3 linked regions of the Callithrix jacchus genome follow. The protein of the gene in region 1 interacts with the protein of each later gene in a pairwise test. Links are inferred from orthologs where the notes say so. Each region holds a gene or a part of one and is shown on either strand. Other genes may lie near its edges.

Region 1 (9,707 bases):
GGATGTTTGCCTGCCTGGGTATAAACAGTGAGGGCAAACGAGCCTACTGGCTCTGGCTCTGGGGCCAGCAGCTCCCCTCATCCCAAGCCCCAGATCTGACCCTGCCCCTCCCTTGCTCTAAACCCTCCCGTGGCTCCCCGTCACCCGTCGGGAGAAACCCAAGCTCATTCCCAGGCCTTCACGCGGTTTCTCCTTCTCTGCCTGGTAAACTCCTACTCATCCTGCAAGAGCCCAGCTGCGTGCCCCACTTCTCCATATAGTCTTCCTCATCCAGGTCCTAGGTCCCTCTCTCTGACCCTGGCTCCATCCCTTCTGACTGCCAGGGTCAGAGTCTGGCTCTGCCTCCCCCAACAGTCTGGGAGATCTGGGTCCTGGGCTGAGACCCTAGTATCGCTGCTCGAGGGTCAGGCCAGGGTGGGTCAGGGAGGGGATTTCTGATGCAGAAATTGCCACCTGGCAGTTACAACACAAGGCAAAGGATTCTAGCAGCAGTAATGCAGTGTCACACCTCGATCCCCCCGCCCCCTGAAATGAGTAGGGCTCAGACCCCCTCCCACAGGCTTCCTCTCTCAGCTTGGCCCAAAGGGGTTAAGTGGGGGGCCCTTGGCAGTGGGGAGGGCCTCGGCTGCTCCCCCACGTCAGTTCCTGGCTGTTGGCTTTCACAGCCTCCTCCTCCTCCTCCTCCTCCTCCCTCCTCCGCTGCCAAGGACAGCCGGGGGACCTGGCAGGCCTGGTCTGCAACCCGGCGGCTTGGCAACTCAGCCACCTCCTCGGCCAGCTGCCAGGCTAGTGAGGCAGGCTCAGCCCAGCAGGGGCCGGCTGAGTGGAGAACAGGCCCTGAGCCCGCACGATTCCCAGGGGAGGTGGCCCGGGTTTAGGTAGCAGCTGGCCGTGGCGGGGCGGTGGGGTGTGGGAGGCCCTGTCCCCGCCCCGAGCACCGGACCTGGGGGTGGAGTGACTTTACCATCACGTAGTGACGCTGCATCTCCGACTTCTCGCTGGCCAACTTGTCACATTCCAGCTTCAGGCTGAGGAGGCACAGGGGGAGACCGGGTGGTTGGTGGCAGATGGGCGGGACCCCCCACCCTCTGTTATCCAGGGGAGGAAACTGAGGCTCCAAGATGCCTCGACCCCCCCGAAAGGGCGCAATCAGCCCGTTCTCAGAGGGTCAGACAACAACTCTTAATTTTTTAATTGAGATGGGGGTCTCCCTATGTCGCCCAGACTGGTCTCAAAAACTCCTGGGCTCGAGTGATCCTCCTGCCTCGGCCTCCCGAAGTGCTTGGGATTACAGATGGGAGCCACCTGCTGTGCCTGGCCGAGGGAGCCAGGAGCTTTGGTGGGGCTGAGGGCATTGAGTTGAGGGGAAGGGAAGTGGGTAAGTTGAGCTCCCTGTGATTCGGGGGCGAGGGGAGAGCGCCAGGGCCGCTGACGGTAAGGAGGGGGTGATGAAACCCCCCTTGAAGATCTGGTGGAGGAGAAAGAACGGACATTATAGAAACACCAGAAGTCGGAGGGCGCTCGGCATCGCGGCCTCAGAGACTTTCACAAGCCTTTACCTCTCACGATCCGGATGTTCCCGCAGCGTCATTGTCACGCTCCTTTTATAGATGACACAGTGGACACCCAGAGAGGGCGAGCAATCGGCTCAAGGTCACACAGCCAAGAAGCAGCCCAAGCTTTCAACCACAGGGGAAAATTTTCCAGACCCAAATAGAAATCTTAAAGAGGCTGAGAGGGTCCAGGGCTGCAAGGCAGCTCCCAGCTGGCCTTCCCAAGGGGACCCTAGCTTCGTGGGGGCCTGAGCTTCCTGGGGAGACCCCTCAGCTCCCTCTATTCCTTCCTGTCTTTTTTTCTTTTTGAGACAGCATCTCGCTCTGTCGCCAGCCTGGGATGCAGTGGCGCGATCTCGGCTCACTGCAGCCTCCGTCTCCCGGGTTCAAGCGATTCTCCTGCCTCAGCCTCCCGAGGAGCTGGGATTACAGGCGCTCGCCACGACGCTCGGCTAATTTTTGTGTTTTTAGTAGAGACGGGGTTTCTCCATGTTGGCCAGGCTGGTCTCGATCTCTTGACCTCATGATCCACCCACCTCGGCCTCCCAAAGTGCTGGGATTACGCGCGTGAGCCACCCCGCCCGGCAGCCTTTTTTATTTAGCTGTGACAAAACACACCATTTCTCCAACTCCACCTGGGCCGTCCAGGTGGCTTATGCCACAGTTTCCTTCTTACAGGCCCTCCCGGGAGGGATGAGCTTCCAGGCGTTTCTCAAAGCCCCCATGAGGGTGTCGTCGCCGGAGGGAGAGGGTAGGAAGGCCTCCCAGTCCAGGAAAAGAACTCGTGATGCAGTGGGGGAGGTGGACAAGCCCGTGTCCTTTACCCATTTAAATCCAACCCAGCACAGCGGCCCTGCGGACCTGGCTCTGGCTGACCTGCTCCGACCAGCCCCGGCCCCTCCCGGACTGGGTTGAGAGCTTGGCCCTGCGTCTTCCCTGCTGTGTGACTCCAGGCAGACTCCGCTACTTCTCTGGGCTTCATTTCCTCCTCTGTGAGGTGCCACCCACCTCGCAGGGTGCAGTGGGGAAGACTCAATGAACTCAGACAAGAAAAGCTCTGGAACAGTACCCGGCATACAGCAAGCACCCCATAAATGCATGGGGATTTTTTTTTAAAGCCAGTCAAATTTAGCAGTGGGGGCTTGTATACCAACTTTAGCGATACTAATGTTAGTAAGTTCTGATAACCCAGTAGCAGCCCATGCCCATGGATCTTATGACCCCCAGGGAGCCTGGCACTGTGCTCTACCGGAGAAGAGGGTGCCAAGTTGGGGATGTTTGGCCTCCACCAGCTTTCCTCTAGTGCACTTGACCAGGCGCGGTGGCTCACGCCTGTAATCCCAGCACTTTGGGAGGCCGGGGCGGGTGGATCACCTGAGGTCAGGAGTTCGAGACCAGCCTGGCCAACATGGTGAAACCCCGTCTCTACTAAAAATACAAAAAATTAGCTGGGCATGGTGGCGCGTGCCTGTAATCCCAGCTACTCGGGAGGCTGAGGCAGGAGAATTGCCTGAACCCAGGAGGCGGAGGTTGCGGTGAGCCGAGATCGCGCCATTGCACTCCAGCCTGGGTAACAAGGGTGAAACTCCGTCTCAAAAAAAAAAAAAGTGCATTTGTTGCTAACATTAAAAAAAAAAAATCAGGGCTGGGCAAAGTGGCTCACGCCTGTAATCCCAGCACTTTGGGAGGCCGAGCGGGTGGATCACCTGAGATCGGGAGTTCAAGACCAGCCTGGCCAACATGGCGAAAGCCTGTCTCTACTAAAAATACAAAAATTAGGAGAGTGGTGGCGCGTGCCTGTAATCCCAGCTACTTGGGAGGCCGAGACAGGAGATCACTTGACCCAGGAGGCGGAGGTTGGAGTGAGCCGAGATTGCCCCTCTGCACTCCCGCCTGGGCGACAGCGTGAGACTTGATCCGGCCACCCAGGGGCTGTTATGCCTTGAACATCCAGTGTGTGCCTGATATGGCAGGGCTTTCTGGATAGCAGAAAGCCCAGGCCCAGCAGATGGAGACTCCAAAGCTCAGAGAGGGCGTCTGGCTTACTGGAGGTCACACAGCACTGCGAAGGCCATCTGATCTCTTCCCTGTGGAATCAGGTCAGCCCCAGGGCCCACCAGGCAGTCTCAAACCCTATGCTTCCAGGGACCCAAATAGAAGTTTCTGGGGCCTTCCTGGAAAGCTGGTTCCAGTGCTTTTGACTGTCGGGGTCTCAGTGTGCCCATCTTGAGAATGGGCACGACAGCCGGACCTCACGAGGAAGCACATATGGTCTTTAGCACACAGGGAGTACCCCGAAAGTTTGGATAGTTTCAAAATCGAGATTCCCCTTTCTACTTGGAGGAAGTCCAGGGTCCCTCCAGGATGGGCAAACTGCAGTCAGGAGAGGGCCCCCAGGCTGAAACGTGGGCCTCAGCGTGGCCTGACTTCCTCCAGACTCCCAGGTCTGCTGCGCCCCTCCAGAGCAGGGCACGTGGGAATCTGCATCCTTACACCAGGAGAGAGACCTGGTGCCCACCTCAGCCTTGCCCCTTCCTCAGTGCTGTGGATACTAACCCTGAGGAAATCCCTGACCTCTCTGGGCTTAAGCTTCTTTCTTTTGTTTTCTTTTTTTTTTTTTCTGAGACGGATTCTCACTCTTGTTACCCAGGCTGGAGTGCAATGGCGCGATCTCGGCTCACCGCAACCTCCGCCTCCTGGGTTCAATCAATTCTCCTGCCTCAGCCTCCCGAGTAGCTGGGATTACAGGCACGCACCACTGTGCCCAGCTAATTTTGTATTTTTAGTAGAGACGGGGTTTCACCTTGTTGACCAGGATGGGCTCGATCTCTTGACCTCGTGATCCACCCGCCTCGGCCTCCCAAAGTGCTGGGATTATAAGGGTGAGCCACCGCCCGGCCTGGGCTTACATTTCTTTAAGAGGACTCAATAGTTCCCTCGCCTTAGACCAGCTACATGGCAAACTCTTCAGAAAGGTCAGATTTCTGAAAGGAGAAGCACCTTGGAGAACGTGATGGGCGCTGGGAACCCTTTCTCCAAAACTGGCCAAAGACAGACATAACCAGGTTACAAAATGTGTTTTGGGGTTGGGGGGATGGTGAGTCCAGGCTCTAAGCTGGTTGGCGCAAGGTCTTTTATCCAGCGGGGGGTGGGGGGGGGCTTGGGGGAGACTGGGGAGGAGGGAGGGACTCTGAAGTCACACAGGTGGGTCTTTGGGCAAATTATTTAACTTTTTTGTGCCTCGGTTTCCTCCTCTACAAACTGGGGCTGTTTAAAGAAAGGAATTCAGTATTTGTCAAGCGATTCGGTCGGAGCCTAGCACACGTTATTTTCCCAATCTGCCGTCCGTGCAGAACAAGGGGGCTCACCCTCTCGGGCGCAGGGACCCCGACCCGCCCCTCACCTGTGGTACTGAGCTTGCAGGAGCTGAAACTCGTCTTTGATGCGGTCGCAGGAGTCCGAGGTGGTGAATTTGAGTTGCTGGGGTAGGTGCGAGGAGCCCTGTGGGGAGGGGGGCGCCCCGGTCAGGCCCAGGCGTGGGCCAGGCCCCCCTCAAGGGCGGGCCAGGAGGGAGCGGCCGCGCAGCTGCGGCGCCCCCCCTCCTGCCCCACTTCCTGGGCCCGTGTTTACCGCCCCTGGCAAGGCCCCCACCCGCGCTTCCTGCCCCCGCCTCTCCCCGGGGGAAGCTGAGGGGGTGGGTGCGCCCGGAGCCGCCCCGTCCCCCGCCACCCCCAGGCAGTGGGGGGTGCGTTTTAAGGCCCGCCCTAGGTGGGGGGCAGGGTACGCCCTCTACCGCCCCTCCAAAGCGCCGGGAGTGGGTGCCTCCGAGGGGGGTGGAAACGCGCCCTAGGGAGCCCCCTCCCCAAGTTGAGGGGCAGCGAGTCCCCCCTGCAAAGTCCCCTTGGGGAAGGGGGTCTCTCTCGGCGCCCTAAATCTTCCGGGGGGGAGCCCACCCCAGAATCCCAGCGCCCTTCCTCGGGGACGCGCTCTCTTCCGGGAGGGGGGACGCCTCGGATTGTCCCCCCCACCACAGGCCCCCAAAGGAGCCCCGCGCTGGAGGTGCCTGGCGGGGCTCCCGGAGATCCCCAGGCCCGAGGCCAAGGCCGTCCGAGGCCCTGCCTGTCCCGGCGGGCGGGGGGGGGGGCGCCAAGCCGGGAGCTGGGGGGGGGTTCGGGGCCCGGAAGCTGGGGGAGAATCGGGAACTGAGGGGGTGTCCGGGGGTCGGCGGCAGGACGGGGGTCGCGCGGGGCTCGGAGCCCGAGAGGGAAGCCAGGGCCCGGGAGCTGGGGGGGCGCGGGGCGGGGGCGCGGGGAGGGGGCGCCGGGCGGGCGGGCCCCGCTTACCGAATGCCTGCTTTGTGGAAACATCATGTCAGTCGCGGCGGGGGGCGCGGGCTGCGCCCCGGCTGTGCGCCCCGGCTCGGGCTGCTCGGGGCGCCGGGCGGCCGCGCCTTTGTCCCGGCGCGGATCGGCAGCTCCCGGGGCCGCCGCCGCCGCCTCCCGCGCCCGGCCTCGCCCGCTTCCTGCGCCCCCTCCCCGCGCGCCCGGCCCCGGCGCGCCCCGGGCCCCGCTTCCTGCGCGCCCGGCGCCCCTCCCCGCCCCTCCCCGCCGCCCGCCTCCCCGCTCCCCGGCCCCACCGCTATTGTCTAATGGCGGCGACGCCGGCGGTGGCCGCGGCTCGGCTGCTGCGGAGGCTCCGGCTCCACCTGCCGCCGCCGCCCGTGCCCCGTGCGCGCCGCCGAGGGGGGGGACGCGCGCGCCCGGGGAGGCCTGCGGATCCCCACCCCGGCCCGCCTCCCCGGGGCCCGCCCGCCGCGGTGACCTTGGGCCCGGCGCGCCCCCGCCCCGGGCCGCGGCCCCCGCCACCCGCCCCAGCCTGGCGGCCGGCCTGGCCTCGGTTTCCCCATCTGTCAGAGAAAGGGACCCGGCTGCCCAGGTCGAAGCCGCCGGCCCTGCGGTGGCACGACCTGGACGCGTGCCAGGGACGTATTCTGTGACCTTGGCTCTGGCTGGGCGGTGGTTCTCGCCGGGCCTCAGTTTCCTCTTCTGCAGAAAGGCAGCGGTCATGCCGCCTTCCTCAGGGAAGCCATTCTTTGGACACCTTTATGGAGGGCCTGTGTGCCAGGCCCGGCTGCTCCAGGGCCCTGGGGTGGGTGGGGGGGGTACAAGGCCCCTGCCCTGGTGAGGTGCCTGGAGACAGACAGAGATAAATTCAGGAGCTGAATTCCCAGCAGGTCAGATGGTGGGGACGCCTCTGCGGGGAAAATCGGCTGGGACAATGGCGGGGTAGGAAGGTGCAAGGTTGAACAGAGGGCAGGGAGGGTCAGAGAGGGCTTCCTCCTCCACAAACGGACCCCAAGGAGCGAGAACAGGGGATGGGGGCAGTGCCAGTCAGAGGCAGGACGAGCAGGTGCAAAGGCCCTGGGGCAGGACTGTGCCTGGCACCAGGATGCCCGGGATGGAGGCAGGGCCTGGGCCTGGGGCTTCATGCTGTTGCCCAGGCCCCCTGCCCCCAGCAGGGCTTCTGCCTGGGTGAATCTTTACTGCTGCGTTTTGAAATTCCGAATCATTTTCGAACAAGGGGCCTTTCAGTTTTCTTTTGTACTGTGCCCTGCAACTCTGTAGCTGGTGACACAGGCCAGTTCCAAAAGGGCTTGTGGGCCTCGGGGAGTACAGGGCTCTTGCTCTGAGTGAGGTGGGAGCCCTGGAGGGCTGTGGAAGGAAGAGGGACAGGACCTGGTGGTTTTTTTTTTTTTTTTTTTTTTTTTTTTTTTGAGATGGAGTCTTGCTCTGTCACTCAGGCTGGAGTGCAGTGGCACGATCTTGGCTCACTGCAGCCTCTGCCTCCTGGGTTCAAGCGATTCTCCTGCCTCAGCCTCCTGGGTAGCTGGGACTACAGGCACCCACCACCACGCCCACCTAATTTTTATATTTTTAGTAGAGATGGGGTTTCACATGTTGGCCACGGTGGTCTCGAACTCCTGACGTCAGGTGATCCTCCCGCCTCCTCCTCCTCCCAGAGAGCTGGGATTACAGGTGCTTTTGCTCTGAGTGAGGTGGGAATCCCTGGAGGGCCGTGGGAAGAGGAGGGAGCAGACCTGGTGGCAGTTATGAAAGGATCCCTCTCTCTGCCATGCGGAGAACAGGTCCCAAAGAGGTGCTGAAATAAGGCTGTGACTTCAGGGTCTTCCTCTGGCAGGTGCTAAGTACAGTCTCTTCATCGTCATCACCCACTAGGCACCCTGCCCCCTCGGATGAATGGTTGGCCTCGACTGTGCTCAGCTGTAAAATGGATCTGGAACCCAAGGCTCCTTACCTTGGCAGATAAAGGTGAGAGCCGTCCGTGATCAAGATTAATTATCTTGGCCGGGCGCGGTGGCTCACACCTGTAATCCAGACACTTTGGAGGCCAAGGCGGGCGGATCACCTGAGGTTGGGAGTTCAAGACCAGCCTGACCAACATGCTGAAACCCCATCTTAAAAAAAATAATAAAAATAAAAATAAATAAAGGAGGAAGGAACAAAGATTAGGATTTTGGACTTACTTTTTTTTGAGACGGACTCTCATTCTGTGTTCAGGCTGGAGTGCAGTGGCGTGATCTCAGCTCACTGCAACCACTGCCTCCGGGGGTCAAGTGATACCCCTGCCGCAGCCTCCCAAGCAGCTGGGACCACAGGCGTGCGCCAGCACACCCAGCTAATTTTTGTATTTTTATTAGAGACAGGGTTTCACCATGTTGGCTGGGATGGTCTCGATCTCCGATCTGCCCTCCTTAGTCTCCCAGACTGTTGGGGTTACAGGTGTGAGCCGCCGCACCCGCCGTGGGTTTTTAAGATGAATACTTACTACTTGTTAAGAGTCAGGCCTTCAGCCAACCACAAAGCCCATGTTTTTGCTGCCACCAGCAAAACCCTGCTGCCCCGCCCCCACCGCCGTGGGGACCAGACGCCCTCTCTCCTGGGAGGCCACCTGCCAGGGTTTATGTACGCAGGTGCCTTCCAGTATCAGTGCGCCGGGGACCAAACACTCCCATTTTCTTTTCTTTTTTTTTTTTGAGACGGAGTTTCGCTCTTGTTACCCAGGCTGGAGTGCAATGGCGCGATCTCGGCTCACCGCAACCTCCGCCTCCTGGGTTCAGGCAATTCTCCTGCCTCAGCCTCCCGAGTAGCTGGGATTACAGGCGGGCACCACTGTGCCCAGATAATTTTTGTATTTTTAGTAGAGACGGGGTTTCACCATGTTGACCAGGATGGTCTCGATCTCTTGACCTCGTGATCCACCCGCCTCGGCCTCCCAAAGTGCTGGGATTACAGGCGTGAGACACCGCGCCCGGCAAACACTCCCATTTTCGAAGCCCCTACACTTTCGGGGGAAGCGGAGCTGGACACAGATACCTTCAGCGGTGAGGTCAGGGTGGGGCCACCCAGAGGGACCTGGGCCTGTGAAGGAGAGAGTCATTGTGAAAGAATCATTTTTCCAAAACAGTTTTTTTTGATTTGTTTTTGTTTGTTTTCCTTCCGAGAGGGAGGCCCAGAATTGTGGGCCTCACTATAAATAATCAGCCAACCGACCCAGGCCTGTGTGTTTTTTCTACACCCCAAGGGTCTTACGCACTTTAACCTTTAGGGACTGTGCTCACGCCCGTTTTAGACACGAGGAAACCGGCCAGCGCGGTGGCTCACGCCTGTAATCCCAGCACTTTAGGAGGCTGAGGCAGGTGGATCACTTGAGGTCAGGGGTTCAAGACCAGCCTGGCCAACATGGCAAAATCCTGTCTCTACAAAAAATATGAAAATGAGCCAGACGTGGTGGCGCGTGCCTGTAATCCCAGCTACTCGGGAGGCTGAGGCAGGAGAATTGCCTGAACCCAGGAGGCGGAGGTTGCGGAGAGCCGAGATCGCGCCATTGCACTCCAGCCTGGGTAACAAGAGCGAAACTCCGTCTCAAGAAAAAGATAAATAAAATAAACATGAAACAAAAAAGAGACGGGGAAAGGTTCTCCCCAGTCGGGTCACAGAGAGCTGAAGTGGCTTGGCGGAAATCACACTAGATGTAATCCCAGGCCGTTGACCTTGACCCTGGGCCTTTGACCACTACTCAGTGTGGCTTTTGGCAGGGCACGTGCTGCTGGATTGGGGAGCTGGGATTTTACCT
Region 2 (9,707 bases), on another chromosome or scaffold:
TTGGTAAGAGAATGGAGCAGTAAGAGGTCAACCCAGAGTTCTCTGCCTCCAGCTGCCCACTCAGCAGGCATAGCTCAGAGACAAGACCCTGGCAGTAGCAGGTTCTGGGCTGAAAACTATAAACTACCCAAACTGAACAAGGAAGACAAAACAGGGTTAGTAATACTTCTGAGTTTCAGGGGGCTTCCTATAGGTCATGATTAGAGATGGAAATAACCCAAAACAAGACAAGGAAACAGCATCCCTTAGCACACTGAGGTAAAGGCTGGGATCGGAAATAGGGATGGGGTTAGGGTAGAAATTAGTCTGTTTTTGTGTGCATACAACCATGTAAGTGTGTACATATGCATTTATGCATGCATGCAAGTACGTGCCCATGTGTGCATGTCTGTGTATTAAGAATGTGACTGTGAAAATGTGTGCAAACATGCCTGTGTATACTGATATGCACATGAACACATATATGTGTTTGTGAGTATGTGTGTATATATCATTAAGAAGGAGCTCCAATCTAAACGTCCTCACAGACCTCTCTTTCTCCCACTTGAGGACAAGAGTGAAGTGGCAGAGCCAGGATTCACACTGGGCAGTCCAGCAGCAGTCTACAGCCTTAACTACTACTCTAGCATTCCAGGTAGGTTCAGTAGCAACTGATATGGCTGTGCTAGAGAAATGAGATAAGGAAGAAAGGGCATCTTTGGGCTGGGCAGGAGAAAGTGCCCAACTGCATTCATAGAATCCCTTGAGCTCCACACTTGGATTTTCTATTGGTCTAACTGTGGTGGGCTAAAAGACAGGACATGGTGTTTTGAAGAGAGAGTGAACTGGCCAAAGGAGGAGTGACAGGCCATAAGACAGAATAAAAAACTGAGTTCCTAAGACATCAGCACTAGGTAAAGGTTAGAAAGACAGGAAGATGGATACCTGTCTCCCAACTCTTGCCTCTGACCTGTGCTCCCCAAAACCTTTTCTCCCTCCTCCCCCTTGCCCACCCTTATTGCTAGTACTCACTGGATGTCGGATATCAGTGATAAGCAGGACAATGTCAGACATCTCTAACACCCGCCACAGCTGCCTCCATGTCTAAGAAGACAAGATCCAGAAGAGAACCTCAACACAGAGTCTCTCTCCGCCTGACCCCAAACCAATTTGACCATGGGTCACTATGCCCCACTCTTGTCCCTACTCTGAGTCACCTCCAGATTGTGCTCAAAGTAGCTGAGTTTCTCAGAGGAGTAAGCCCCATGAATCTTCCCAAGATACTCTTGGAAGCTCCGTTCCTCTTGGCTCATTAGTTGCTCCTTGGACATCTCATAGCTCCAAGGAGGACGTCGAGGAAAGTCCAGAACTGGGAAATCAGGAAGAAGTCCAAGTGTGAGGAAATTTTCAGTATTCAAGAGTACATCCCAGACCCCTCCTTCCTCACAGTCGGCTCTTACCTTTCCAAACTCCTTCCCAGCCCATGCCTGTCTTGCTCTCACTCACCTGAGCCAGGCTGATAGACCTCTCGGATGTCCAGCTCCAACACTTCAGCACTGACCGGCTGTAAAACTTGCTCACGGGCTGCTCTCTTTCTCCTCTCTACCTCCTCCCTGCTGTCTCTTTCAAAATGCAGTCGGTATCTAAGGGAACAGGGACCGAGATATCCAGCGCAATCCTGTGGCCACAAACTCCCATTTTCTCCCCTCTTGGACAATCAACTTCGCAAAGCATTCTCTCCAGAGTTGTTGAAGCCTCCTGTCTCAAGTCAGCCTTCCCCCAAGTTCCTCTTTCACGCAATATTCAGCCTCCTCCTTTTAAAAGACAAATTCTCTCCAGCCTCTCTGGAAAGGAAGATTGTGACCTGCTCTGGGGAGCCGAGAGGCCAGCGGAGAACTGTGGCATCCTAGGCCCACCGTCTTCACCAGTAGCATCCTGCTTTCCCCCAAAGCTCTGACTTCCGGGTAGGCGGGAAAGTCGTAACCAGTGCCCCCTCCCACCCTCACCGATTTGGGTCGTAGCCTCGCGGACCCAGCCCCTGAGAAGGCTGCTGGTTAAGCCTGCGGATATGATGGGTCACAGACTCCCCGTCCGAGGTATCGGTCTGTTCCTCCCGCCGCTCCCGGCTCCCGCTGCGGCTGTTGGAACTGGAGCGTAGCCCATCTTGAAGCCCTGCGGAGAGGGGCGGGTGACGCCAGGGCTGGCCAGCTCTCAAGCGCCGTAAGACCCTCTCCCGCGTCGGCCTGACTCTCCTTCATCCCACTCAACTTCTTTGGAGGCTCCGTCCTCCCAGCCACCCTGTTCGGGACCCTCCCGGATGTGCGCGGGGGAGTCACTCCTCCAGGGAGCAGTGCGGACCGTGCCCTGTACGAGCTGAAGGGATTCCCCTCCCCCAATTCTCCATCTTTCCCCACCCCTTCCAGATGTAGGGGGGGTGGGGAATCCCCTCCGCGAAAGGCCTCGAGGGTCAGCGCTCTCCCACGATCCCCTCCCACGCCCCCGAGAAGTGCAGCTAGCACACCCCTCCTTCCAGATGTGCGGGAGCCTGAGCCCCGCCCCCTCCTCCCGCTCCCGCACTGACCTCTCTTCCGCTCCCGCTTGTCCTGCAACTGCTTCTTCTTCTGCTTCACGCTGAAGGGCTTCTTCCTCGGCATGGCCCGGACCAGTCACCTGGCCCGCCCTCCACCGAGCTCCCGCCGCCTCAACTAACTGCCCCCGGGGCAGCCCCCGCCGCAGGGGCCCGGGACCCTAGAGGAGGCGGGGCTAGCAGGTGACGTCAGCGGGCGGGCCCGACCGAATTGCCGCGGCGGCCGCGATGGAAGACGACCGAGGGAGATATACAGTCACTTCCCTCCAGGAGCTAGGCGAGAGGATGATGCGGGGTGGGCTACTGGCACGTGAGAGCCAGTGGCACCGAGAGGGCGCCCCGGCGGCGGCGAAGGAGGCGCGCGTGGGAGGACCGGGCTAACTCCGTCACGGACGCTACCAACTTGCGTTCGGAGAAGGGGGGATGCGTGTCATCACTACTTTGCGCTCCCGGGAGAAGCTACCACTCACCTGGAGGGGGCGGTGGAGTGGAGGGCGGGGCCTACTACCTAGGGGAGAGGAGGCGTGGACTCGCTGAGACTACAAAACCAACCCTCGGGCTAGACCTTACTGGAAAACCGAGACTGTGCGTCCCGGGTAAGAAGCCAGGTTGCTGAGCTACACCGGGGGCACGATCAGAGGTCTTTAGGGGAGGGCGGCGGTCTGAAGAGTCCTGGGTGCCGACCTGCTGGGACCCAAATTCCTTGTGAGAACGATGATAAGTAGCAGGTTTACAGATGAGTGCAAAAGGGGACGAGAAGGGAAACCCAAACGGCACAAGGACTTTGGAGGGAGGTCAGAGGGCACGAAGTTGTGCCTGCAGCTGTTACCATAGTAACCGGGGACCGGATGTGGCGATCTTACGGTGCGACAGTCCTCTTCTCAGGCCTTCTGGCCAGAGAGCCTCTTGACTCTGTGGCACACTCCGAGGAGCTGGTTGTGGTGGTTTCCAACGAGGGAAGAAGAGAGGAATTTTTTTCAAAGCAGTTATAGAAACGCAGCAAAGGGAAGGTGTGAGGTTGCCACCATGCCTAGCAGAGACGGACAGAGGCAGTTTACTCCAGAATGCGGCCGCTGCAGATGTTCCCCGCAACGTTCCGGAAATGGAATGGCGGGAGCCTCATCCTCGCTGCCCACCGCCCCGCCGGAAGCGGAAACAGAATCCCCGTGTGCCCCTTCCTCACTGCCCTCCAAATCCCGCTGCAGCCATTGCGGCAGCCACGATGCCGAAACGAAAGAAGCAGAATCAGCACCAGCCACCATCACAGCAGCAGCCCCCACTGCCCGAGCGGGAAGATACTGGAGATGAGGAGGATGGGAGTCCCATCGGTGAGGGGTCGGGGAGGGACGTGCACATGCCTGTCAGCCCGTCCGGGCGAGGGGCTAGGGGCTGGTAAGGTGCAAAGGAGGGGGCTGTAACGGAAGGAGGAAGGGCGCACGCGCTGGGGAGGAATGGAAGGGGCTGTCCCAAATGGAGCCTTGAACGAGGAGTTCTCTTACTGGAACCATCAACCTCAAACTGGCCCCAAACCTTTCTGGAGAAGGCGGGGGTGGCGAGAATAAAGAGCTCTTTTGCGCAGTCGCAGAACAATAGGGGAAAGGGACAGTAGAGATGTTGCAGATTGTGATGACTGGGATGACAGTTTGTATCCAGACTGACTGAAGAGGTGCAGGTGCAGCTTTCTCTGAACTAGTCCTCTGGCCAAGGGGAAGGAGAAGAGAATTGACTGGCCAGCAGTTGAGGGATTGGTTTATGTCTGGAGACACTTGGATTGTTTTGGATAGCGACGGTACGGTGAGGAAAAGAAAAAGTTTTGTCTTTTCCTGCATTATCCCCTTTGATTGAATATCTACTCTTTGCAAACCCGAAACAGCTTTGCAGAAAAAAGCGCAGGTAGATGGGGTGAGAACTCCTAAGACTGCTGAAAATATACCTGACTTTACTGGTTGAATTAAGAAATGAGTAATAGAAGAAAAACACCTAAGAACAGAATCATCAGTCCCTTAATCCATTCTGATGACCGTATTTTCATGTCTGCTCTTAGGACCACCCAGCCTTCTGGGCCCTCCCCCCATGGCCAATGGAAAACCTGGTGACCCTAAGTCAGGTGAGGAGGAAGGGGCCCTGATCCTTGTATTAGGTCGTGGAGAAGAGAGCAAGGGAGGGGATAAAACCCAGAAAGGACTTAAAAATCAAAAGATCAGGGATTCCATACCTAAATGAATGGAGAAAAGTTGTATATTTGCTGATTGAAAAACTCGATGTTGTTAAAATGTCACTTCTTCCCAAACTGATGTATAGATTTCATGCATTCCAAGCCAGAATATCTACAGTGTTTTTGTAGAAATACACATTTTTATAGGGAAATGCAAAATATCAAGGTGAGAGACTGTCAAGATGATCTTGAAGTGGGAAGGCTTGCTATGAATATCAAGATTTGTAAGCTGGGCATGGTGTCACATGCCTATAGTCCTAGCTACTCAGGAGACTGAAGTGGGAGGATCGTTTGAGGCCAGCCTGGGCTACATAGTGAGACCCTGTCTCTAAAAACAAGAGAAAAAGACTATAAAGCTATAATAGTTACAACGATGCAGTTTGGACACAATTATAGACATAAGTCAACAGGACTTAGGTCCTGAAGACTCCAATAACAGACCCATACATGTGTGGACACTTCCTTTATGATGAAGATGGAACTGAAAAGTTGGTCTTTTCAATAAATGATACTGGATCACTTGGATATTCATGTAAAAAAATGGAATTTCACCTTGCACTCATAATCATATATAAAGATCTATTTCAAATGGACTGTAGATTTAAGTATAAAAGGTAAGAGAGGCCAGGTGCGGTGGCTCACACCTGTATTCCCAGCACTTTGGCGGGCCGAGGCGGGCAGATCACCTGAGGTTGGGAGTTTGAGACCAGCCCGACCAACATGGAGAAACCCTGTCTCTACTAAAAATACAAAATTAGCAGGGCATGGTGGCACATATTCCCAGCTACTCAGGAGGCTGAGGCAGGAGAATCACTTGAACCCGGGAGGCAGAGGTTGCAGTGAGCCAAGATTGCACCACTTGCACTCCAGCCTGGGCAACAAGAGCAAAACTCCATCTCTAAAAAAATTAATAAATAAAAGGTAAGAGAATAATTATTCTAGACAATAAATGGGCTGGGTGCAATAGCTCATGCCTGTAATCCTAGCACTTTGGGAGGCCGAGGTGGTGGATCACCTGAGGTCAGGAGTTCAAGACCAGCCTGGCCAACGTGGTGAAACCCCACCTTTTAAAAAAAAAAAAAGAAAGTAAATGTATTTTCATGCTCTAAGAGTTCTTAAACAGACCAGAAATGCCCATATACATACTAACCATAAAGGAAAGATTGGTAAATTGAACTGTTAGAAAATATAAACTTGCTAAATGACACCATCAAGAAATTAACAGGAAACCATACAGTAGAAGATAATGGCAACAAATATAACCAATAGGCGGGGCGTGGTGGCTCACACCTGTAATCCAAGCACTTTGGAGGCCAAGATGGTCGGGAGTTCAAGACCAGCCTGACCAACATGGTGAAACCCCGTCTTTTTAAAAAAAAAAATACATATATATATATATAACCAATAAAGAGCCTGTATCTATAATACATAAATAACCTTTCCAGACAAGCTATTTGAAAAACTGACAAAAGACCAGAACAGTTACCTTATTAAAATGCAGATATAAACTAATGATCTAAATGAATAAGCATCAACATCATTAATAAATGCAAGACAAAAATATACCACTTTGAAATTAGAACTCTTGGCCAGGTGTGGTGGCTCACACCTGTAATCCCAACACTTTGGGAGGCTAAGAAAGGTGGATCACCTGAGGTCAGGAGTTTGAGACCAGCCTGGCTAACACAGTGAAACCCTGTCTCTGCTGGAAATACAAAAATTAGCCTTGAACCCAGGAGACAAAGGTTTTTTTTTGTTGTTGTTGTTGTTGTTTTATTTATTTTATATTTTTATTTATCCCTGTAATCCCAGCTACTTGTGGGGCTGAGGTAGGAGAATCACTTGAACCCAGGAGGTAGAGGTTGCAGGAGGTGGAGATCATGCCATTGCACTCCAGCCCGGGCAACAAGAGTGAAACGCTGTCTCAAAAAAAAAAAAAAAGAAAGAAAGAAATTAGAACTCTGTGTACTGCTGCTGAGATTATAAAATGGTAAACCTACTATAGAAAACAATATGAAGATGTTCCTCTAAAACAATTAAAAATAGAACTACTCAGAACTCCTGCTTCTGGATATATATCCAAAAAAAAATGGAAAACAGGGTCTTGAGATTTGCAGACTCATGTTCATAGCAGCAACCCACATATCCAATGATGAAAAAAAAATGTGGTGTGTACATACAATGGAATATTATTCAGCCTTATGATGGAAGAAAATGCTGTCATATACTACAACATGGATGAACTTTGAGGACTTTATGTTAAGTAAAGACATAGTGTATGATTCCACTTATGTGAGGAGTCTGAAGTCAAATTCAGGGGCCAGGCATGGTGGTTCATGCCTGTAATCCCAGCACTTTGAGAGAGCGAGGCAGGCGGATCACTGAAGGTCAGGAGTTTGAGAGCAACCTGGCCAACATGGGGAAACCCCATCTCTACTAAATACAAAAATTAGCCCAGCATGGTGGTACACGCCTGTAATCCCAGCTACTCAGGTGGCTGAGGCACAAGAATTGCTTAAACCTGGGAAGTGGAGGTTGCAGTGAGCCGAGATAACACCTCTGCACTCCAGCCTGGGCAGCAGAGCAAGACTTTGTCTCAAAAAAAATTATAAAAATAAAGTCAAATTCAAAGAAACAGAATGGTGGTTACTAGAGGCTGGGGGAAGGAAGATGGAAGAAGGGGAGTTTTGTTTAATGGGAACAGTTTCATTCAGTTTTGCAAGATAAAAAACTTTTGGAGATCTGTTTCACAACAATATGAATATATGTAACTACTGAACTATATATACACTTAAAGACAGGTAAGATGGTAAATTTTATGTGTTTTTTAGCACAATAAAAAGCAAACAAGATGAGACATGATGACTCATACCTATAATCCTAGCACTTTGGGAGACCAAGGTGGGAGGATCATTTGAGCCCAGGAGTTCAAGACCAGCCTGGGCAATGTGGCAAGACCCAATCTCTCATTTAAAAAATTAAAACACCACTTTTCACACTCACCAGAATGGTAAAAATTAAAAAACAATACCAAGTGCTGTCAAGGCTAAAGGACAACTGCTGGTGAGAGTGCAAATTGGTACAACCACTACGGAAAAAAGTTTGGGCTCATGCCTGTAATCCTAGCACTTTGTGAGGCCGAGGTGGGTGGACTGCCTGAGCTCAGCAGTTTGAGACCAAGCCTGAGCAGCATGGCGAAACCCCGTCTCTACTAAAATACAAAAAGTTAGCTGGGTGTGGCAGTGTGCACCTGTAGTTCCAGCTACTCAGGAGGCCGAGGCAGGAGAATTGCTTGAACCCGGGAGGCAGGGGTTGCAGTGAGCCAAGATCATGCCACTGTACTCCAGCCTGGGCAACACAGTGAGACTCCATCTCCAAAAAGAAAGTTTGGCATTATGCATGAAACTTGAGCATAACGTACACTCTATGACCCAGCAATACCTCTACTGCATATATACTCAACAGAAATGCATACATATGTGTAACAACATGTATAAAAATGTTTATAGTGGAATTTCTCGTTATAGCCCCAAACTGGATACCACCCACAAGTCTATCTGCAGTAGAATGGATAAATAAGTTGTTGTGTATGCATGCAATGGGATACTACACTGCAGCGAAATGAATGAACTACTTCTACAGGCAACCTGGATGAATCACACAAACATGATGTTGAGCGAAAGGAGCCAGACATAAAAGAATGCAGACTGTATGATTCCATTTTTTGTGAAGTTCAAAAACAGGCAAAAACTAACCTATGCTGTCAGGATAGTGGTTACCTTTGGGGAGGAGGGTGGATAGTGGGAAAAGGGGCACAAGGGGAGGATCTACTGAGGTGCTAATAAGGCCTTATCATTTGGTGGCGGAAAGTCAAGTGTGTCTACTTTGTGATAATTGGGTTGTGCACTTAAAACTGGTGTGTGTTTATGTATGCTGTTCTTCAATAAAAAATTTTTTTAAAAATCAGGGCTTATTAGGATTAAGCTGCCCATTGGTCACCTTTTTTTTTTTTTTTCCTCTCTCCAGCTTTTCACAGAGGTCCTCCAGGATCAAGGGGACCATTGATTCCACCACTGCTGAGCCTCCCACCTCCTCCATGGGGTAGAGGCCCAATTCGGGGAGGCCTTGGCCCCAGGTCTAGCCCATATGGTCGTGGTTGGTGGGGAGTCAATGCTGAACCTCCTTTTCCGGGGCCAGGCCATGGGGGTCCCACCAGGGGAAGCTTTCACAAAGAACAGAGAAACCCTCGAAGGCTCAAAAGCTGGTCTCTTATCAAGAATACCTGCCCGCCCAAGGATGACCCCCAGGTTATGGAAGGTGAGGTCCATTTTGTTATGCCCCTTACTCCCAGAGTGACAGAACATTCATGATCATCTCTGGGCTTTCCTTGTTTGCTTTTGAAGCAGAAATAGACCTGAATGTTATTTCTCCCAGAGGAAAGACTACCATTTCAAAATACCTGGAAATGGTAGGGGTAGGAAATCTGTCCTCCTTTTGTCTCTGCTTTTCATTATATTTGTTTTCTTTCTTGCTCAAATTTTTAAATGTTCAATTTTCACTTGTTCACAGACAAATCTGACCGCCCTGTCTGCCGACATTTTGCCAAAAAGGGCCACTGTCGATATGAGGACCTCTGTGCCTTCTACCACCCAGGCGTCAATGGACCTCCCCTGTGAGACTGTGCCTTCCCATCCAGGCTGGAAGGAGCTCTCTGTGACCTAGTGGCAATGCATTTCCCTGTAGCCCTGTGATGGCTACTGTGAGGCTCTTCCAACACCCTCAGTCAGTGACGCACCCACCCCATCCGCCACCTCCCCAATTTGGGGTCCACAGTTGTGTTGTGTCACTGGTGCGAGGTGTATGCGCTTTCTTCTGATCCAGCCTGTAGAGACTCACCTTCGGGACCCATCTTTGCTCCCTTCAGTT
Region 3 (9,707 bases), on another chromosome or scaffold:
TTTTGTATCTGTATTCCATTGTTCACTGAAATGTCATTAAAATATGGCATTATAGTTTTCTGGGACATCTTTTATGTGTGTATTCCATTGTTGGCTGAAATGTCCTTATGTGGTACATGACTATATAAATAGTGTATAAAAATAAACACGTATTTATTTATACAGTCGTTCACTATATATATATGCACTATAGTCATGCACTTTACACACAGGCGCACGCGCACGTGCACACACACACACATACACACACACACACACACACAGGACCTCCCCAAGGACCAAGGACCCAGCCATTTTATGGCTAGGTATATGTCCACGAGAGATAGAGAGATGAACGTATTTATTTTATACACACAAAAGTGTTTGAACTGCTTGTACTCACGACACCATGGAAAAATCTCAAAAACATGTTGAGCTGAAGAAGTCAGGCACAAAATTGTGCACACAGCATGCCTACATTTATATTAACTTCAAAAACAGGCAAAACTCATTTTTGGCATGGTTAGAGATCAGAACAGGGGTTGTCTCTGTGGAAGAGATGTGCTGGCTGGAAAACAGCAAGAAGGAATTTCTAAGGTTGATGTTCTACATTTTGAAATGCTATCCTGTATCTTGATCTGGGTGTTGATTACACAAGTTCATGTGCTTTCAAACTCCATGAAGTGGCATACTTTTATTTTTATTTTTAGACACAGGGTCTCACTCTAGTGCTCAGGCTGGAGTTCAGTAGCATAATCATAGCCCACTGCAACCTTGAACTCCTGGGCTCAAGTGATCTTCCCACCTCAGCTTCCTAAGTAGCTGGGACTACAGGTACATGCCACTATGCCTGGCTAATTTTAAAACAGATTTTTATAGAGATGGGGCCTCATTATGTTGCCTAGGCTGGTCTCAAACACTTAACCTCAAGTGATCCTCCCACCTTGGCCTCCCAAAGCACTAGGATTACAATCATGAGCCGCTATGCCCGGTCTGACCTGCATACTTTCAATTGAGGCATTTTAGTCCATGAAAATTATCCCTTTGTCAGATGGGTAGATCACAAAATCTTTTTTCCCGTTCTGTTGGTTGCCAGTTCACTCTAATGATAGTTTCTTTTGCTGTGCAGAAGCTCTTAAATTTAATTAGCTCCCATCTGTCTATTTTGGCTTTTGTTGCCATTGCTTTTGGTGTTTTAGTCATGAAGTCCTTTAAGACATTTATGCAGCCAACAAACATATGGAAAAAAAAGCTCATCATCACTGGTCATTAGAAAAATGCAAATCAAAACCACATTGAGATACCATTTCACGCCAGTTAGAATGGCGATCATTAAAAAAATCAGGAGACAACAGATGCTGGAGAGGATGTGGTGAAATAGGAATGCTTTTATATTGTTGGTGAAAGTGCAAATTAATTCAACCACTGTGGAATACAGTGTGGCAATTCCTCAAGGATCTAGAACTAGAAATACCATATGACCCAGCAATCCCATTACTGGATATATACCCAAAGGATTCTAAAACATTCAGTTATAAAGACACATGCACACATATGTTTACTGCAGCACTATTTAGAACAGCAAAGACTTGGAACCAATCCAAATGCCCATCAATGATAGACTGCATAAAGAAAATGTGGCACATGTACACATAGAATACTATGCAGTCAAAAAAAGGGATGAGTTCATGTCCTTTGCAGAGGCATGGATAAATCTGGAAACCATCATTCTCAGCAAACCGACACAAGAATAGAAAACCAAACACTGCATGTTCTCACTCATAAGTGGGTGTTGAACAATGAGAACACATGGACATAGGGAGGGGAACATTACCCGTTGGGGCTTGTTGGGGGGTTGGGGAGCTAGGGGAGGGATAGCAGGGGGTGAGGGGATTGAGGAGGGCTGACATTAGGAGAAATATCTAATGTAGATGACAGGGAGATGGATGCAGTAAACCACCATGGCACATGTATACCTATGTAACAAACCTGCAAGTTCTGCACATGTACCCCAGAACTTAAAGTATAATTTTAAGAAAAGAAAATTATATCTCAGTAAAGTAAGGTTAACATAAAAAGTTAAGATTTGATACAACTGGGTAGCTGCACGGATGTTCAATACTTTATCCATATACTTAAACTACAAATGGATCAAAGATTCAAATGTGAAAAGTGGAAGTCATAAATGTACTAAAAGAAAATAAAGGTGAATTATTTTACAAATTCAGATGAGGAAGGCCATTGTAACAGTGACTTGAAATTAAGAAACTGTAAAAAATGCGATAAATTCGACTCCATAAAATAGCAGTGTTTGCAATAGTCTATAAGTTTGAAAATGTATTAAAAAGACTCAAAGAAACTACATCAAGAGGTTAGCAGTGAAATTCTTTGCATTTTGTAGTTATTGATGATTGTTATTTTCTTATTTATGTTTTTATATACATTTCACAAATTGAATGTATCCCTTTTAGAATCATCAGAAAAATTGACTGAAAACCTAACGTTTCTGCTTCGTTAGTTTTTCAGAGTTTTTTTCTGCTTCCATACCTTTCTGTCTTATAATTTTTATTCTTTTCCTCTTGTGTCTCACAAGCAGAGTTGTTTCTTCCTCCCATGGCTGATTCTCTTTTGATTTCTTCAGGGCAACATGTCATCCATCAGGCTCTCCCCTTTTCCTGCCTCCTTTATGTCTTCTTTACTATTGGATCATTTTTCCTTTCCCTATAAGCACGTCTGTTACCTGATCCTACAATATGTCTGACCCATAACCATAAGGCCCTTCTTCCATGAAGGTGGCTTCTGCCTTCTTTTCATTATCAAACTTCTGACAGAATAGTGGATATTTGTCACCTTTATTTTTCTGCCACCAGGTCATTTGTTAACTTTTGTCAATCTGACTAGCCTGTAATCACTTTAATATATACTCCACCTTGGAGAGCTTCTTTATCTACTGTCATACAGCTCCACTGCAAGTGCAGAAATGTTCAACCTTCCTGTAGACAGAGCAAGGCTCAAATTCTTGTTTGCCTGGCAATCAAGGCCCTCCACAGTCTCGACGCAGCTGACTTTACCTCATATTCCTGGACCCCGACCCACTCCATCCATTCTAGCCCGACTGCATCCTTTGCCATTGCTCAACTCTTCCTGCCCTGTCCCTCCACTGCACATTTATTGTTGGGGTTCCCTCTACCCTTTCCTCATCTGTGTGTTTCAAGACTGTCCTGAAAGAGATTCTAGGGTTCATGCATATCTGGCTGTCCTCTCCATTTGGGCACATGGGAGACTTACTCTCCGTTGCCCCTTTGCAGTTAGGCAGGGTATTAGCAAGGCTCTGTTGTCCGGTTGAAGACCTTTGGGCTGTCTCTTCCCTGCCACAGAAACTGAGAAGGCAGCACTTTCTAGAAGTGCTTCTGTCTTTTCTTTTCTTTTTTTTTGAGTGTCATTTTCAAGAATCTCATCTGTAAAAACTCTAGTCCACACTGCCCTGGAAGATCAAATCTGGAAGTGATAGAAAGTTCTTGACAGCTCTGTCCTCTGTCTTTCTAAGAAAGGGGTTGTGCACAACATAGGAAGAATGGGCACTAGGGCCAGCCTGAGCCCAGTAGCTGAGGACTAAGAAGGCCTTATCTGCCTCTGGAGAGCCAGTGAGGAATCCATGAATTGTAAATATTAAATTTACACTGAGAAGTGTGAGTCCCTGAATCGTTAAGTGCTTCTTGCATTTAAAGCAGGTAATGTTTGAGGCTATTGCATGAGGGTCCCTATGCAGAACCTAGAATTCAGGGACTTTTTAACTTTTAATTTTTTACCATTGTCCACTAGTTTTTAATGTTCTATCAGTTTAAGTGAAGCGTAGAAAACTTACCTCTGTTTAAATTCCTTTACTCACCTCCGTTTTAATATAATTGTCTTAAATATCTTCTACACATATACTGAGAACTGATCAGACAGTATTATACTTCTTGCATCAACCATGAAACTTAATTTAGAAAACTCAGGAAGAGAAAGAAATTTATTTAAATTATTCATATATTAATTTTTTATTATATTTTTTCCTGTCTGATGTTCCAAGTTTCCTTATTTTATAGTTTCGTTTGTGTTTAGAGAACTTTCTTTAATCATCATTTTAGGTAGGTTTCCTGGCAACCACATCTTTTAAGTTGCCTTCGTCTGAATATCTTGATTTCTCTTTGATTTTCTGAAGGATATTTTCATAGGGTCTGTAAATCTGGCTTGACAGTTTTTATCTTTTAGCATTTGGAGACTATCGTACTACTTCCTATTGGTTTCCATGGATTATGGTGACAGACCTGCCATCATTTAAATTGTTTTCTTCTGTTGGTAAAGTGTCATGTCTCTCCTACTGCTTTCATAAGTTTTGTATTGTACTTTAGGTTCTGGGGTACATGTGCAAATCATGCAGGATTGTTGCATAAGTACACACATGGCAATGTGATTTTCTGCCTCCATCTCCCCGTCACCTGTATCTGGTTCTCCCCATGTTATCCCTCCCCAACCTCTCCACCCACTGCTGTCCCTCCTCTAGCCCCACCAACAGACCCCAGTGTGTGATGCTCCCCTCCCTGTGTCCATGTGTTCTCATTGTTCAACACATGCTTATGAGTAAGAACATGCAGTGTTTGATTTTCTGTTCTTGTTTCAGTTTGCTGAGAATTATGGTTTCCAGATTCATCCATGTCCCTACTAAGGACATCATTTTTTATGGCTACATAGTATTCCCTGGTAAATATGTGCCACATTTTCCTTGTCCAGTCTATCATCGATGGGCATTTGGGTTGGTTCCAAGTCTTTGCTATTGTAAACAGTGCCACAATGAACATATATGTGCAAGTGTCTTTATAACAGAATGATTTATAATCCTTTTGATATATACCCAGTAATGGAATTGTGGGGTCAAGCGGAATTTCTATTTCTAGATCCTTGAGGAATCGCCACACTGTCTTCCACAATGGTTGAACTAATTTACACTCCCACCAGCAGTGTACCAAAATATATACATCTACTATGTACCCAGAAAAATAAAAAATAAAAAGTTAAAAACCCTTGTCGGTTAATTCTAACATCTTTTTCCTCTTGATGTTGGAATTTGTTGACTGTCTTTTCTCATGTAAGTTGAGATTTTATGGTCCTTGGTATGAAGAGCAATTTTTGATCGAAACCTGGATGTTGGGGTATTATGTCATAAAATTCAGGTTATTATTTAATCTTCCGTTCTAGCTGGTCTCTGACACTGTTTTGGTAGGGGAAGGGGATGCTGCTTCATTCCGAACAGGCGGGAGTGGAAATACAGGTTCTCTTCACTTTGCCTCTGTGGACACCCAAGGGGAGGGCTCCTCATCACTGCTGGGAGGGGGGATTTTAGACTCCTTACCTGACCTCTGCAGATACCACCCTGGCCGGGGGGGGGCAGAAATAACTTGGTATTGCTTCCATGCAGATTCCACTGACACTGCATGGGGGAGTGGCCTTGGTACTGCTGGGGGAGGGAAAGAGTCCTGGCTGTCCAGCAGGCCTCTTGTGACACTAGCCCTAGAGAAGAAGAGAGAGCCTCACTGCAGCCTGCAGAGGTAAGTCTGGACTGCCTGTGTGATCTCCACTGACACCGTGGTGGTGGTGGTGGTGGTGGAAGGGGGGTGCTTCCACATCTCGTAGCAGGAATGAAAGTCCTGGATCTCTCACTTAGCCTTCCCTGACTCCACCCCAGTGGGGAAGTTTGAGTGCCTTGTGACAGCCTGGGAAGGACAGAAGTCTGGACTGGCTACCTGGCCTTTCCTGGTGTGGATAGGGGTGGGCGAAAGGACATTTTCTGTGGTGTCTGGCTGAGTTGAGTGGTTACTGTCTTAAGGTTTTCTGTCTTTCTAGGCTGCTGCTTTTCTGATTCTTTAGCTAAGCAGAGCAAGCTCTTCCTGTTTATTTGTTTTGTCTGCACCTGTTGGTGTTTCTGGTTATTGGTTTCTCCAGCTCCCACTTTGGGATATATCAGATAAAAAGATAATCCAGGGAGCCCACCACAGTGTCACTCCTGGGGTCTCAATACCTTTAGGTGGTTTGCCTTCTTCGTCTACCTTTCAGAGCCTTCTTATGTTTATTTTATATGTAGTTTCCAGCATTTTTAGGTAGACTTGGAAGGAGGAATATGGAAATATGCACCTACTTCATCATTCTGGAAGTTCTCTACCTTGTTTCTTAAATGTATGAGAATAATTATTCTTATAACCTAAATGTCCAGTAACAGACCAATGCACCTTATGGTACACTATGCAACCAGTAAAATGATGGTACAACATTACATTTTTATGAAAATTAAAAATGCTCAGATGACATTAATGAAAGAAAGATTACACAACTGTGTGCATATGTAAGTATGATTATAGCTATGTGGAAAACCCAAACTATGGACAATGGCTGTTTGGAAGATGAAATTGTAAGTAACCCCTTCCCTTTCAATGAGCCAAAATTTTAAAAAAGAGAATCTAGTACTTTCATAATCAAAAAATAAATTTTATCATATTTTGTTCCTAAATTTTCTCTCAGAAAGATACATACAACTATCTTCTAAGATATATGACATTTTGCATGGGTTCATTAATTTATTTGTATTTCAGGAGTTAAAAAATATTTTCAATCTGGGTTTATATACATTGAAACTATGGTTATGGGTTTAGATGATTCCCTTGCCATAAGATAAATATTCCACGAACAGCAATCAGCCACAGAGCTATACTTACCATGCTAAAGGAAGAAAACATATTTTATTTGGAGATTAGCAAGAATGCTTTATGGGCTCCCAGCATACCACAAATAAGCCAGAAGGAGAGGAAATAGTGAAGCAGAAAGACTGAGGATGCCTGGAGGGCAATTCCGGGATACGAAAGCCCCCTGGACTTGTGCTTCCGGTTTGGGTGTCCCTGGTTGAAGCCTCGTCTCCTTTCTAGGACGCTGCTGGCTTTGATTCCTCCACCTGCTGTCCTTCACATTCACAAACAGCAGTTTTCAACTGTGCAGATTACATAGGCTGAGCATGGCTCACAAGTGTTGCTCAGCGTGCATGTGGTCGAACATGTGTTACAGGAAAGCCTGGGGGAAAATCGATTTTAAACTAAGCTTAACAAGGGAATCTTGATAAAATGGCAATTCAGAAAAACCATGTCAAAACTTGCCCTATAATTTACGTTCTGAAAAAAACTCTGCACAATAGCATTGACCAAAGGCTATTTCTTCTTTGTGCCCAGAATTGCCACTTCATGTTCACAGTGGCAGTTGAATAGTCTTTTATCTTTTTTCTTGAATTTGCAAATGTTATCTTAGGCCTATTCCTGATTTTCCGTGAGTGGAAAACAGGAACAAAGGGAGGTGCCAGCATGACATGTGACACTAATAATTAATCTGCCTTTAGAATATTTAAAAAATAGTTCTCATGTCATGTGCTTAGCCTCAGCTACTTTTGAGCACTCTTTTAAGAAGATCCCTGAACACATTAGGGAGGTTTGAACTGGGCCAGATGTTGGGGAAACAGGATTCTCTCACATCAGCGTCTTTGAGACTCTGAGGGGTTTCATGAGTAACTGTGGAACTTGCCTGCTGTCCTCGCTCTCCAGCAGGCCCTGGTACGTGTTGATTTCGCCCTCCAGCCGGGCCTTCACATCCAACAGCACTTGGTACTCCTGGTTCTGTCGCTCTAGGTCGCAGCGGATCTCGGCCAGCTGGTTCTCCACGTTATCGATCAGGCACTGAATCTGGGCCAGCTGGGAGCTGTACTGGGCCTCGGTTTCTGCCACGGTGCATTCCAGAGAGTCTGTCTGCAGGAGGAAACATTGTCCAAAGGACCATGAAGTGCAGTCTCTGGGGCCAGAGCCTTCTGCCTCCCAGATCCAAGCAATTCTCCTGCCTCAGCCTCCCGAGTAGCTGGGACTACAGGCTCCTGCCACCATGCCCAGCTAATTTTTTGTATTTTAGTAGAAGTGGCGTTTCACCATGTTGCTCAGGCTGGTCACCCGCCTCCGCCACCCAAAGTGCTGGATTACAGGTGTGAGCCACTGTGCCCAGCCACAACAGTGCCTACTTTCAAATCCTTACTCTACCCTTTTCTAGCTATGTGACTAGTGGCAAATTATTTACCTTCTATGAGCCTCAGTTTTATTCTCTATATATTGGGGAATGCAAAGTCTTTGTCTCATTAGAGGGTTGTGAAGATTAAGAGTTAGTATGTGTAAAGCACTTAGGACAGTGCCAGCCATACTACCACTGTTCTACATGTCAGCTATTACTACCACCACTACGACTGCAGCAATCCACGCCGTATTTGTGAAGCTTAAGGACTATCAACAGCATTTGAGGGGAAACATTGAGTTTGGGCTCTTGGCAGGGAGGGATAGTATAGTGCTGTTAAGAGAAGAGGCTCTGGGTACTGAGGCTGGAAAGGGTATATGTGTGGTAAGGGGATGAAGAGAGGTTGGTTAATGGGTACAAACATACAGTTACATAGAAGGAATATGTTTGCATGTTGGACAGTAGAGAAGGGTGGCTACAGTTAACAACAACACACTGTGTATTTCAAAATAGCTAGAAGAGAAGACTTGAAATGTTCCCAGCACACAGAATTAATAAATACTGGAGGTTACGGATGCCCTAAATATCTTGCCTTGATCATTACACATTCTATGCATCTAACAAAGTTTCTCATGTACTCCATAAATATTTACAATATATCAATAAAAAATAAATTTAAACAGAGAGCGAGAAGAGACTCTGGGATTTGACTGGCTGAATTCAGCTTCCATGTTTGCCTCTTAGAATTACATCCTTTGCAAATTACTTAATCTGAGTCTCCGTTTTCCTTATCTGTGTTATGGGATAAAGGTATCTATCCCATAAAGTTATTGTGAGGCTTAAATGAGCATGATGCCTCTCACAGGATGAATGCTCAGCTATCATCATTCTTCTAGGTACTCTCTGCAGGACCTAATGAAATGCACACAGTGGTGCTTGACCAGAACGGGTGAATGTAATCTTGAACGCATGGTGTTCTTGTTGCTTGAGTGGGCTGGGAGGCAGTGAAGTGTCAGGTTGAAGTATAGATCCCAGGAAATGGTAGGATGAAACGTTTGAAAATGACTCTTTGTTTTAGATATGACAGTGAGCCCGGAAAACTGGCCTGAATCAAAGGAGAATTAAAACCTGCTGGAATGAGTAAGTGACCTTGGCCTGGAGGTCTCTGCTTCCCCCTCCCTGTCTCTGAAAGCTGCCGAAGCATCAGACTCAAGCCCAAGAGTGAAGGCGAGGCATCTTAGAGAGCAATACGAGCTGTCGACTTGTCACTTCTGCTTCTATTAATAGCTGGGTAAATGACAGTACTTGGGAAAGGCAAGGAAATATGATCCCCAGATATGGAAGAGGGCTTAACATCTCAGGGCCGGACTTATCAGTGACACAACAGACACTGCCTTTGCCTCACACACCAGGCTTTGCTGTGCTTGGAGCTCAATTTCCAGAGCATTGGCTGTGCGTTTCAGTTCCAAGATCTCTGTCTGGCAGCCCTGCAGCTGCTCCGCGCTGGACAGTTGCTGCTGATTCAGCTCTTCTGTCTGAAACACAGGTACCATTAGAGAATTCAAAAAAGGCAGAAGTCTGTAAGCCTGCCATTTTTTTGATCTGGGTGCTGACCTGAACAGCGAACCATTCTTCTGCTTCTCTGCGGTTGTTGGCCA

What was found.
Region 2: the proteins of TLE5 (region 1) and PRR3 interact in binary tests that used the Homo sapiens proteins (3 or more experiments, as listed by UniProt). The two-hybrid records come from large-scale screens. The link is inferred for Callithrix jacchus from reciprocal best matches to the Homo sapiens genes TLE5 and PRR3.
Region 3: the proteins of TLE5 (region 1) and KRT40 interact in binary tests that used the Homo sapiens proteins (3 or more experiments, as listed by UniProt). The two-hybrid records come from large-scale screens. The link is inferred for Callithrix jacchus from reciprocal best matches to the Homo sapiens genes TLE5 and KRT40.

Annotation. Positions count from the first base shown.
Region 1 is NC_133523.1:2,833,361-2,843,067, forward strand, and holds the start of TLE5 (TLE family member 5), read right to left. Parts: upstream 5,924-9,707; coding exon 5,897-5,923; exon of another isoform or gene 5,896-5,896; intron 5,055-5,895; coding exon 4,957-5,054; intron 1,029-4,956; coding exon 965-1,028; intron 1-964. Other genes in the region: uncharacterized protein LOC128930549, read left to right, coding at 5,922-6,737. UniProt on the Homo sapiens protein: Transcriptional corepressor. Acts as a dominant repressor towards other family members. Inhibits NF-kappa-B-regulated gene expression. May be required for the initiation and maintenance of the differentiated state.
Region 2 is NC_133505.1:35,348,895-35,358,601, forward strand, and holds the start of PRR3 (proline-rich protein 3), read left to right. Parts: upstream 1-3,747; 5' UTR 3,748-3,788; coding exon 3,789-3,894; intron 3,895-4,610; coding exon 4,611-4,673; intron 4,674-8,807; coding exon 8,808-9,098; intron 9,099-9,350; coding exon 9,351-9,457; 3' UTR 9,458-9,707. Other genes in the region: GNL1 (guanine nucleotide-binding protein-like 1), read right to left, coding at 1,012-1,083, 1,197-1,348, 1,486-1,622, 1,986-2,151, 2,561-2,633.
Region 3 is NC_133506.1:92,280,376-92,290,082, reverse strand, and holds the end of KRT40 (keratin, type I cytoskeletal 40), read right to left. Parts: coding exon 9,664-9,707; intron 9,585-9,663; coding exon 9,459-9,584; intron 9,190-9,458; exon of another isoform or gene 9,128-9,189; intron 7,800-9,127; coding exon 7,579-7,799; intron 7,078-7,578; coding exon 6,978-7,077; 3' UTR 6,580-6,977; downstream 1-6,579. UniProt on the Homo sapiens protein: May play a role in late hair differentiation.